Linked DNA regions of Macaca fascicularis. The protein of the gene in region 1 binds, or shares a complex with, the protein of each later gene. Links are inferred from orthologs where the notes say so. Each region holds a gene or a part of one and is shown on either strand. Other genes may lie near its edges.

Region 1 (3,648 bases):
TTACAACTCTGCATTTTTATCTGAAGCTAGCACTTTTATCTAAAGAGCCGCATTGCAGGAGGTGTACTAGGTTTCCAGGTTCCTCTAGGCTGGGCATCCATACGAGGCATTCCAGAATGTTCAGAGGATGCCCTGAGTGCCAGGCCTTAGGGAGAATAGAGACATAGGAAAAATGGTCTCATGCAACTAGATTACAGTCCTCACACAGCACAAACCTTTTGAGCAAGGGTTTGTTGACTGAATAAAACACAAACAAAAACAGACATTGAAAGAAGGACATTGCGGGCTGGGATTCTAAGTGATGGTAGGACTTGAGCTGAGTCCTAAAGAAAACTGGAACTTGAGTCCACAGAGAAGCGCAGCATAAATGAAGGTCACAGGATAGGAAGGTGTTGCATGAGGTGTGTGTGTCGGCTTAACTCTGTCACTTAATATCTAACACTGACATTCTGTGTCGTCAAATCCTATGCCAACCACTGCTGAGACCCTGGTCAGTGCCGGTCAGTGCTGCTGGAATGACAGCATGGAACCTGGGCTTTTGTCTCTCCCTCCGCCCCTCCAGGCTCCTAGAACATTGCCGGAAACACAAATACCTCTCCAGCTCTGGGGAGGTCTTTGCCCTCCTGGTCAGCAGCCTCTTAGAGAACCTGCTGGACTATAGAACCATCATCATGCACGATGAGAGCAAGGAGAACCGTATGAGCTGCACTGTGAATGTGCTGGTATGTGACATGCCCCTGGGGTGATGGGAGGGGACTCAGGCTGCCCCTGCACCCTACAGCTTAGCTCTAGGTGGATCCCACACACACAGAGGCACCCCGGGCACCTTTGTGGAGCTGGTGTCTTCCTGAGTCTAATTGGAATGGCTGGCTCAGCTCCCAGGTACCAGCAGCCACAGACCCTGAGGATAAATTTGGTGTGCTTTTGATTGTTTTAATTTTTGTTTCAGTAGGTTTTGGGGGTACAGGGGGTTTCTGGTTACATGGATAAGTTTCTGTTTGTGTGTTTGTTTGTTTGTTTGTTTTTGAGACGGAGTCTCGCTCTGTTGCCAGGCTGGAGTGCAGTGGTAGGATCTCGGCTCACTGGCAACCTCCGCCTCCCGGGTTCAAGCAATTCTCCTGACTCAGCCACCTGAGTCAGGAATTACAGGCTGGAATTACAAGCACGTGCCAGCATGCCCAGCTAATTTTTGCATTTTTAGTAGAGACGGGACTTTCACCATGTTGGCCGGGATGGTCTCAATCTCCTGACCTCGTGATCCACCCGCCTCAGCCTCCCAAAGTGTCAGGATTACAGGCATGAGCCACCGTGCCCGGCCAGAGAAGTTCTTTAGTGGTGATTTCTGAGATTTTAGAGCACCCGTCACCCGAGCACCGTACCCAAAATGTAGTCTTTTATCCCTCACCCACCTGTAACCTTCCCCGCTGAGTTCCCAAAGTCCTTTATATCATTCTTGTGCCTTTGCGTCCTGAGGATAAATATCGCCTTTTCTTATGGGGATATTTGTTAAAGGGAAACAGTGAACACTGTGGAAAAGTGAAACTGTTGAAAAGCAGCAACAGTGGTTTGGCTATTTTTGTGGTGAGCTTGTCAATAGCTCTTGATTTATATTGGGATTCGGTGATCCTTTTTTTTTTTTTTTTTTCCTGGCAGAACTTTTATAAAGAAAAGAAGAGAGAGGACATATACATAAGGTAAGCTGAAGGAAATTTCTTGCTTCTGCTATTTATTTCATGGCTTTGTGATTGATTTCTTCAGTAAACAAATACGATGCCCAACACCGTGTTTGCTGCTTTGAGAGACCCCTAAAAGTACATGATATGCTCCATTCACCCTGAACTGACAAACTCTTTAGACAGATACATGAATAAGTATGACAGGAAGGAGTGCCTACGTGAGGTCATGTCAGGGATCAGGGGAGGGATAGACAACTTCTATCCTGGGTGGGCAAGAGAGGCTGTATAGGGAGAGGCAGGAAAACCCATGCAAGAGTCTTAGCGAATCTCTGAACATGAAACAAACTTGTACATAACCAATATGCATGTTCTTGGGGAGAGATTCTATAGCTTTCATTAGCTTCCCAGAGGGGTCCAAGACCTAAAATTTAAAAACATTAAACAGCACTACCTTAAAGACGGAAGAGAAACTAGTCTAGATGGAGTCGGAGAAACACGGAGGCAGGAGGTGCGCAGTGTATTAAAGAAATGAGGAGGAACCGACTCCTTGGCTCAAGAGGAAGGAATAGCTTCTGTACAGTAGTGGGGAAGGGGGAGTCACGCAGGGAAGCAGGCTGGGGTCTGGTTATGGAATGATCTGAACACTATATCAACTTGAGCCTGGGCAGCATAGAAAAACCCTGTCTCTACAAAACACAATGAAAATTAGCCGGGCTTGGTGGCACATGCCAGCTACTCAGGAGGCTGAGGTGGGTGGATCACTTGAGCCCTGGAGCTCAAGGCTGCAGTGAGCCATGATCGGACCACTGCACACTCCAGCCTGGCCAACACAGCAAGACCCTGTCTCAAAACAAAACTTAAAAAACCTACAAAACTCTCGAGTGACAAGATGCTTCCTTTCTCCCCTTCTTGCCAGATATCTGTACAAGCTTCGAGATTTGCACCGAGACTGTGAGAACTACACAGAAGCTGCCTACACCCTTCTCTTGCACGCTGAGCTTCTGCAGGTGAATGGCTCAGAGAGCTTGTTTCAACAGGGTGGAGTATACCGTCCTTTCAGACTAAATTCTATACATTTTATGATTTTGATGGGAAAGAACCTTATTCCAGGGATGTCCTTTTATATAAGTTTTTAAAAATTCTTTCTAAATAGGCACAACTAATTTGTACATCAAGTATGGGAAAATGTCAGTTATCTTTTATTTAAAAGTCTTTAGAAAGCAGAGCATGACTTATGAACCTTTGGTAATTGACACTCTAATTAAAGCAATAAAACACACATTGATGAATACATTAAAAAAATTTTTAAAACTGCAGAAAACCACAGAAAGATGAGTTATAAGTGAATATAGTACCATAGAAGTACTCTGCTATTTTTATTCTCTCCGTAAATAAATGTATGTTGTGGCTTAGATATAAATACATCTATATGCTATGAGTCCCAAGTAATTATTTCTGGCCCTGAGCAGCTCCTCTAACTTTGGATTTACATACAAACTTTGATTGGCTAATACGCAGCTCAAACTGAACAAGGCAGTAACAGGAAGCTTTATTTCTCACTCTTTGCTCCTCCCCAACCCATCCTACCTCATTTTATTACCATGTTACTAATAACATTCCCATCCATTTAGTTACTCAGGCAACCTCATAGTCATCTTCGATTCTTCTCTTTTACTCACCACCTCCCATGTTCTCCACAAGCAAGAGATGTGGCCCCTCTGTTCAGAAAATGCCCCTAACCTATCCACTTTTCTTTTTATTTTTTCTTTCTTTTTTTTTTTTTTTTTTAAGAGATGAGATCTTGCTATGTTGCCCAGGCTGGTCTTGAACTCCTGGGCTCAAGCAATCCTCCCACTTCAGCCTCCCAGAGTACTAGGATTACAAGTGTGAGCCACCATGCTGGCCAATCCACTTTTCTTTATATCCCTGGCCAGCACCTTGGTCCATCCCATCAGCATGTCACACCTTGAGC
Region 2 (4,386 bases), on another chromosome or scaffold:
GATGGCTCAGATGAGAGAGACTTGAAGCTATATCACATGAAGAAGAGTCAGAGTAATTGAGGATGATTAATCCTCAAAACAGAGTGTTTAGGTAAAATTTGAGGGCTATCTTCAAAGATCTGAAAGACCTCTTCATGGAGGAAAAATGTGAAGACCAAAGGTTACAGGGGAGTGGATTTGCATAATTGCTGTGCAAGGAGGGAACAATTATGACAGCTAATGTTTACTGAGTGCTCACCACGCATGCACTAAAGTTAAGGTCTTTATATGCCTTAGCTACAAGGTTGTAGATCCAATTCATGCTCATCACTACAAGCATCTCAGAGCATTGTTAGTAAAGGCTCCATTTATTGACTACTTATTAAATTACCTCATTTAATAGTTGTGCTATTGATTTTTGTTATTGTATCATTACTGTTTTATAGATGAGGAAATACAGAAGTTAAGTTGCTTTCCTGCAGTCACCCTAGTTACTGGCTTTATAACCATGTGGACCCAGGCACTCTTGATACTAATACTGCCTCCCAGAGTCATGTGTGTAATAAGGAGTTAGATCAGAGCTGTTCATTAAAAATATAAGGTGAGCCACTAATGAGAGCCTATGTGTAGCCTTACATTTTCTAGTGGCCACATCAGAAAATGTAAAAAGAAACTGGTGAAATTAATTTTATGTATGCTTATATGTTAACCCAATACATGATGAACCCAATGGACTTATTACATCAAACTATTCTCATGTATTGCAATAATGTAATCAACATAAAAATACTTAACAAGTTAGTTTACATTCATTTTAAAAATATTAAATTGTATGTCTGTTTTACAGTTACAGAACATCTCAGGGCTAGCCACATTTCAAGTGCTCAACAGCTGCCTGTGGCTCTTGAGGGGGAGGATCTTAAAAGGGAGCTTAGTTTTCCACCTTGATTCTGATGCCTCCCAGCCCCCAACTTATTTCCTTTGCCAATTAGAAGAAAATGCCTAACTGCCTTTGACTTTTCCGGTAGAGCCAATGTAGGTATTGCTGAATTGGGGGAGGACAGGTGTTTCGCCTGCAACCCTCTTCCCTCCTGCCAGCTAGGCTGAGAGTTAACGTTTTTGATTTCTGTTTTGAAAATGATTTAAGTAGGTTGCAAGAATTAAGTAATTTATTCTAAATACCAAATTAGGGGTAGAACGTCTTGCCTTATGCAAAGTTATGCAAAATTAGGAAGTCCCTGGCTTAATTGGTTAGAAATACATCTTGTAGCTTCAATGGCAGGGTTAGTAAATACATAGATGTCGACTGAGAGGGAGGAAATGTTTTGTTATTTTTGCCACTCTGTCCAAGGGTAGAGGCACAGCGTCAAAACAAACACGTCTTAAAGTAGCGTTCAAATAGCCCACCGAAGTTTCCCCTTAATATCCGGAACCGGTTGCCAAAAATGAAAAAAAGATGTGAAAAGATTCTACTCGCTTTTGGCCTCCCGGAGGTGGCGCTATGAGGGTGACGGAGTTAATTAGTGCCTCCAAACGCCGTGTGTGAGCTCATCGAAGTCATGCTCTGCACACATATTATTTATAGCAGATTTGAGGCATGCATGGTGTTTGACATTTCTGTCTTTATAAGTAGGGGGACTTCAAAAAGTCGTGGGCATTCCCCTAGGCAAAGTGCCGTGGGCAGGGACCAGGGTGCGGGCGCAAGGCGAACGCGCAGACCACGAGTGTCCTGGCGCAGGTGCCAGGGGCGGCGGCTGCAACTCCGCAGCGTCCGCTCGGGAGGAGAGTTCGCGGCTGATCTCCGGATGCCTTGCAGATGCAAAATGTGTCTCTGGCCAGCAGGAGGAAGGAAGAGGAAGTGAGAGCAGCGGCAGCCGGCGGTGCAGCAGCCGGCCGACCCAGAGTGTAAGTGCGTGTGTTGGGGCGAGCGGGAGCGGGCGAGGATGGGCACAGGATAGAGGTAGAGCCACCCACGCCGCCGCGGCCCCACGCTGGGCGACAGAGCCTCCAGTTCCCCTTCAATGGTGGCAGGTCGCCGCAGCTCTGATCGCCGGGAACCCTTGCCGCTGCTGTCCTGCGACCCCAAGCAGGTTCGTAAAGTTTCCTGGGCTGGCGCCGCGCCCCGACTTCCTGACCTCGGCGCGGCAGGGGAGGGGGCCGGGACTGGGGCCGGGAGGAGCCGTACTGCTCCGGGGGACTCCGGGAGCCGCGGAGACACTTTTGTTTCCTCCCTGGGAGCGCCGCGGCTCCGGCGGGGGTGGCCGCCGCGCTCGGCAGGGTGAAAGCTGTGGGCGCGTCGGGGCGCTCTGCAATTGGGGAAGTCTGAGCTCGGGGGATGGCGGGAGTGGGAGTGGGAGAGGAGGGAGGGGGCGCTGGAGGTGCAGCGCCCGGGGATGAAGCGCAGGGCCCGGGGCCCGGGGCCCGGGAGCCCGCCGAGACGTTTCGACCAGGGTCTGCGGGAGGGGGGCGCCGGAGGGTTGCGACGCGGGCGCGAGGTTGTTGGGGAAGGGGGATGTGGGGCTGGGACCTTGGAGTCAAGATTTCCTATAGAGCCAGAGAAGCGGCTGGCGGCTCGGACTCTGCGTCTTCTCCTGCACTCAGGGATGGGAGGGAATCCCCCGGCGAGTGCGCTCGTGGGAGGAGGCGGTGATGGGCCAGAGGGATGGGGGCCAGGAGGGCCGGAGAGGGCGGTCTGGGCAGCCGGGAGCCCCGGAGGCTCTGGTTGTAAATACTCTCCTCCCAGGGACACACCGGGGTCTCCGCCGAGACCGGAAGAGGCGGCGGGGGGTTTTGTGGAGCTTCGTGGAAATCTCAGCTTCGGAGAGGGGATGCACCAGGCGCGCCTTCAGAGAAGGGGGCGGCGGCATGCCGGGGGCCCGGGAATCGGAGCGGAGAGTGGCAACCGCGATCGCCGGAGTCTCTTTGAGGAAGAGGAAATACAGAACTCAGCTGTCCCGGGGGTGCGCGCGTGTGTTTGGAATTGGGAAGTCGGTGCTGTGCCGCGAGCGCGCGCGAGGTGGCGTGTGTGTGTGTGTGTGTGTGTGTGTGTGTGTGTGTGTATGTGTGTGCGCGCGCGCGTGTGTGTGCGCGCATATGTATGTGTGTGTGGTGTGTCATCGGTGTGTGTAAGTGTGTGTGTGTGGGGGGGGTGGGTGTTGTCGGTGTGGGAGGGTGTTGTCGGTGTGTGTGTGTAAGTGTTACCGCACAGCCAGGAACTACCCGCCCAGTGACCCTCTCCAGCCTAGGGGGCGATTTGAAGTTGGAGGCGGGACGGGACCTGCCTTGACCCAAAGGACCAGACTCAGGCTTGGTCCCAGGTAGTGACCCAGCTCTGAGAGCCCCTGGACGGCCCCCGAGACCCAGTGAACGTATTTGGGATGCCCCTCGCGCTGGATCATGGGCTTCCCAGCTGCGTTGGCCGTGAATGATTCGGGCCTAATTCGTTATGGTTAAGATTTTAGATAACCTAACGCAGGGGATGGGGCCTCCAGAGGCGGAGGCTCCCTGTTGGGCGCGGCCGGTGCCTTGGGGATGAGGCTATGGAAGAATATCTGAGTGTTTCTTTTTTGCTTCTATAAAGGTAATTAATGACCTGTATTTACATACCAAAACCCTGCGACCAATTTTGGGACATAGAGGGATATAATCCTTCTCAGAATCACTTTGAGATTGCAAAGACTGGCAGCAGCTGTTATTGTTGTCTCCTCTGGCCCCATGTTATCTCTGGGTTCTCAGGTTCTCCTCTGGGTTCTCACATTATCTCACCTCCATGCCTACTTTCCAAGGTTGTTTCAAGGATTATTGTCCCCCGATTTATAGATCTGGGGGAAAATAATGGCAAGTTAGGAGGCCAGATCCCCTGCAGACACATCGCATACTTTTAATTTTTCTTATAGCTGACCTTTTGAAGCTTTACTCTTTACTGTTGTACATTTCCTATCTCTGGAAGGCTGTGGTTAAATGTGGATGCTGCCTTTTTTCTACTCTGTTTTGTTTGTTTTTATTAGGTTGGTAAATTGTGAGGAAATGACCTGGACTGCTGTGACTCTTGGGGAGGGGTTGTGTCAGGAGGGTACTGAACTGGAGAACAAGAAGTATGGTAGGTATCAGGGAGGGGCAGGCTGGGAGGCAGACCCGGCTGGGAGGCAGACCCAGATGGGAGTCTGGGGAAACTCAGGGCCTGGAGCAGTCATTGGGCAAGAAGATGGGCAGTTCTAGTGATGGCCATGCTTACTGTCCTTGGTAACTGCAGGCACCCTCACCGTCTCACATTCTTCTTTTTCACTGAGTTCTCTCCCTAGGGCCTTTGCCCATGAAATTACAGGAGGAGCTTTTCTCCCACATGTCCAGATGACTGACTTCCCCTGCTTCCTTCAGGTGTCTGCCCAGCTGTCAGCTTATAGGGGG
Region 3 (2,603 bases), on another chromosome or scaffold:
GCCAGTCTTGGGGCTCATCTTGTTTGATAGGAACTGGGAGAGAAACAGGCTCAAGAGTGGGGAGGGAGTAAGTCCATGGCAGGGTATGACTCCTAGCAGCATCCCCCCAATCCCCCTTAGGTCTGGAGTCTCCTAAGGCTGGTCTAAGCCTCTGTTTTGGTGAGCAGGAGTGACTGAGCTATCTGTAATGATTCTAGGACTGCAAGCTAGGACACCTGGAAGTCTTCAGTTGAGGCAGAGACCTGGGTTCAAACTCCAACTCCTGTTAAAGCACTGTCCTCTTGGTGATGTGAGGTACAGCTCTCAGATGCATGACTGTGAGAGCATCTGCCTTTAGGCTAATGGCTCTCAACCTCTCCCTTTCTGAGTCCTAAGATCAGGAAGTCTTTCCTCAAGTTTTGTGTCTGAGTCCACTATAGCATCTGTGACTGGGCCCCAGAGCAAGACTGCCCCCTCCAAGGGAGCCTAGAGCTTTGTTAGGGAAATTGGGGGGTGAGGGGACCACAATGAAGCCTATTGTCTACTAGAAAAAACAAAAGGCTCCCAGTCTCTGGGGAGCCCTAGCCCATGCCCACCCGCTAATGCCCAGCACACAGGGAGGAGCCGGGGCCACTGGAGACAGGAGGTTTTATTGATGCTGATGGGGGTAGGAAAGGCCCCCAGAAGCATGGGGGCTGAGTCAGTCAGCAAATGCGTAAGGCCTGGGCACAGAGGAGCAGGTTAGGGCACATTCACCTTCTCAGGATTCTGTGGCTCCCTCACTGGAGAAGGGAGAGAGCATCTTGGGGGTGCAATTCCAAGAACAGCGAGGGCAGAGGTTAGAGATGGCTGAGAGCCCCTAACCTGAGGAGGCACCACAATAGGCAGCAACAACTGTGTGGAAAGCTAGATGAACTGGTCAGTAGCGGAAAATGGGAGGGGGCACTGGTTGGCCTCTTGGGGAGGGGTCCAACCTTGGCTTGGATGAGCTCATGAGAATACCCGGTGTTCCCAAGCAGAGCGGGGCAGAGCCCAAAGCCCCTTTCTCTGCAGGCCTCCTTAAGGAGAAAAAGGCACTCAGAGAAAAAGGCATTCAGGGAGCCCCCTGGAAAGGGGTGCCAGAATTAGTCCTTAAGGCACAGCTGGGGCGGACAAGGCACCAAGGCACAACTGGTGGGGGAGGGCAGGGGCAGCCTCCAAGCCGAGTGCCAGGGTCACAAGAGGACGCAGGACCGTCCCCGCTTGATCGGAGTGGGGTTGAGCACAGCCCGGACAGCCTCGGCGAACACTTCCTTGACACCATCCTGTTGCAGGGCTGAGCATTCGAGGTAGCGCACAGCGTGGATCTGCTTGGCCAGTGCCTGGCCCTGCTGCGGTGTGATGGGCGCCTGGCCCTGCTCCTTGAGGCGCCGTAGAGTGTCAGGCTGGGCTCTCAGGTCCTTCTTGGTGCCCACCAGCAGGATGGGCACATCAGGGCAGTGGTGGCACACCTCTGGATGCCACTTGTGTCGCACGTTCTCATAGGAAGGCGGACTGGCAATGGAGAAACAGATGACAAAGACGTTGGTCTGAGGGTAGGAGAGTGTGCGGAGGCGGTCATACTCCTCCTGGCCCGCAGTGTCCCACAGGTTCAGGTTCACTGTGCGCCCGTCAACTGCGCTCTGCGCGCTGTAATTGTCGAACACGGTGGGGATGTACTCTTTGGGGAAAGCGTTAGTTGTGTAGCAGATGAGCAGGCACGTCTTGCCCACAGCCCCATCACCCACCACCACGCACTTGATGCTCTGCATCGTGGGTGCAGTTGCTGTAGTGGAGGCAGTGCCTCCTCTCTCTTCTGGACCTCTCTGGCTGCAGTGACCTGTGGACGGATGAAAGGGGACATTCTTGGTTAGGGAGGCCTCTGCCTACTGGGAAGAAAAGATAAGGGCACACAAAGGGAAACCGGCTCCTGTTCCCTTAACCTGACACTATCCCAAAGTCCCACCAAGACAGTCATCAGAAAGATACACAATGAAAGGCCCTGAGACCGAGCAAAGATGCAGTATAATGTGGTAGAAAGCACATAAGCTCTGGCGCCAGATAAACTAAGGTCAAATCTTGGTTTTGCATTTCCTAGCTGTGTAACCCTGAACAAATTGCTTAACCTCTCTATGCCTAAGTTTTCTTACCAGTAAAATGAGGATAAAATAATATCTACCTCATTGAGTCATTATAAGGATTATATAATACACGTAAAGCATTTAAAACAGTGCCTCATCCATAAGTATTAGCTTTTCTTTTTTTTTTTTAGCCGGAGTCTCGCTCTGTCACCCAGGCTGGAGTGCAGTGGTGTGATGTCTGCTCACTGCAACCTCCGCCACCTGGGTTCACGCCATTCTGCCTCAGCCTCTCGAGTAGCTGGGACTACAGGCGCCCACCACCACACCCAGCTAATTTTTTGTATTTTTAGTAGAGACGGGGTTTTACCGAGTTAGCCAGGATGGTCTTGATCTCCTGACCTTGTGATCCACCTGCCTTGGTCTCCCAAAGTGCTGGGATTACAGGTATGAGCCACCACGCCTGGCCAGTATTAGCTATTTTCCAGGCTATACAGACACAAAAGGAGAGTGCACAAATTTAGGGAT

Evidence for each region.
Region 2: the proteins of DOCK5 (region 1) and ELMO1 are in contact, whole or in part, in a cryo-EM structure (PDB 8JHK), measured with the Homo sapiens proteins. The link is inferred for Macaca fascicularis from reciprocal best matches to the Homo sapiens genes DOCK5 and ELMO1. Residues at the interface, in NP_079216.4 of Homo sapiens: Met1, Ala2, Arg3, Trp4, Val14, Ala15, Ile16, Tyr17, Asn18, Ser22, Gln23, Gln30, Ile31, Gly32, Asp33, Thr34, Glu39, Tyr41, Gly43, Trp44, Arg46, Tyr48, Lys56, Ile58, Pro60, Glu61, Thr62, Tyr63, His65, Leu66; in NP_001193409.1 of Homo sapiens: Ile7, Val8, Lys9, Ala11, Tyr18, Pro19, Leu21, Glu23, Glu36, Asp39, Gly40, Ser42, Asn71, Gly72, Gln392, Asp393, Leu400, Glu401, Lys468, Arg531, Glu535, Leu536, Lys539, Leu547, Gln550, Gln551, Asn554, Arg555, Asn582, Thr688.
Region 3: the proteins of DOCK5 (region 1) and RHOG are in contact, whole or in part, in a cryo-EM structure (PDB 8XM7), measured with the Homo sapiens proteins. The link is inferred for Macaca fascicularis from reciprocal best matches to the Homo sapiens genes DOCK5 and RHOG. Residues at the interface, in NP_079216.4 of Homo sapiens: Val232, Phe345, Asn393, His394, Lys395, Gly396, Trp400; in NP_001656.2 of Homo sapiens: Ala121, Pro123, Leu126, Arg127, Arg128, Lys130.

Annotation. Positions count from the first base shown.
Region 1 is NC_088382.1:28,565,567-28,569,214, forward strand, and holds part of DOCK5 (dedicator of cytokinesis protein 5), read left to right. Parts: intron 1-562; coding exon 563-722; intron 723-1,653; coding exon 1,654-1,694; intron 1,695-2,592; coding exon 2,593-2,683; intron 2,684-3,648. UniProt on the Homo sapiens protein: Guanine nucleotide exchange factor (GEF) for Rho and Rac. GEF proteins activate small GTPases by exchanging bound GDP for free GTP. Along with DOCK1, mediates CRK/CRKL regulation of epithelial and endothelial cell spreading and migration on type IV collagen.
Region 2 is NC_088377.1:92,863,999-92,868,384, forward strand, and holds the start of ELMO1 (engulfment and cell motility protein 1), read left to right. Parts: upstream 1-1,585; 5' UTR 1,586-1,884; exon of another isoform or gene 1,885-2,000; coding exon of another isoform or gene 2,001-2,069; intron 2,070-4,386. UniProt on the Homo sapiens protein: Involved in cytoskeletal rearrangements required for phagocytosis of apoptotic cells and cell motility. Acts in association with DOCK1 and CRK. Was initially proposed to be required in complex with DOCK1 to activate Rac Rho small GTPases.
Region 3 is NC_088388.1:70,446,514-70,449,116, reverse strand, and holds the end of RHOG (rho-related GTP-binding protein RhoG), read right to left. Parts: intron 1,838-2,603; 5' UTR 1,770-1,837; coding exon 1,194-1,769; 3' UTR 611-1,193; downstream 1-610.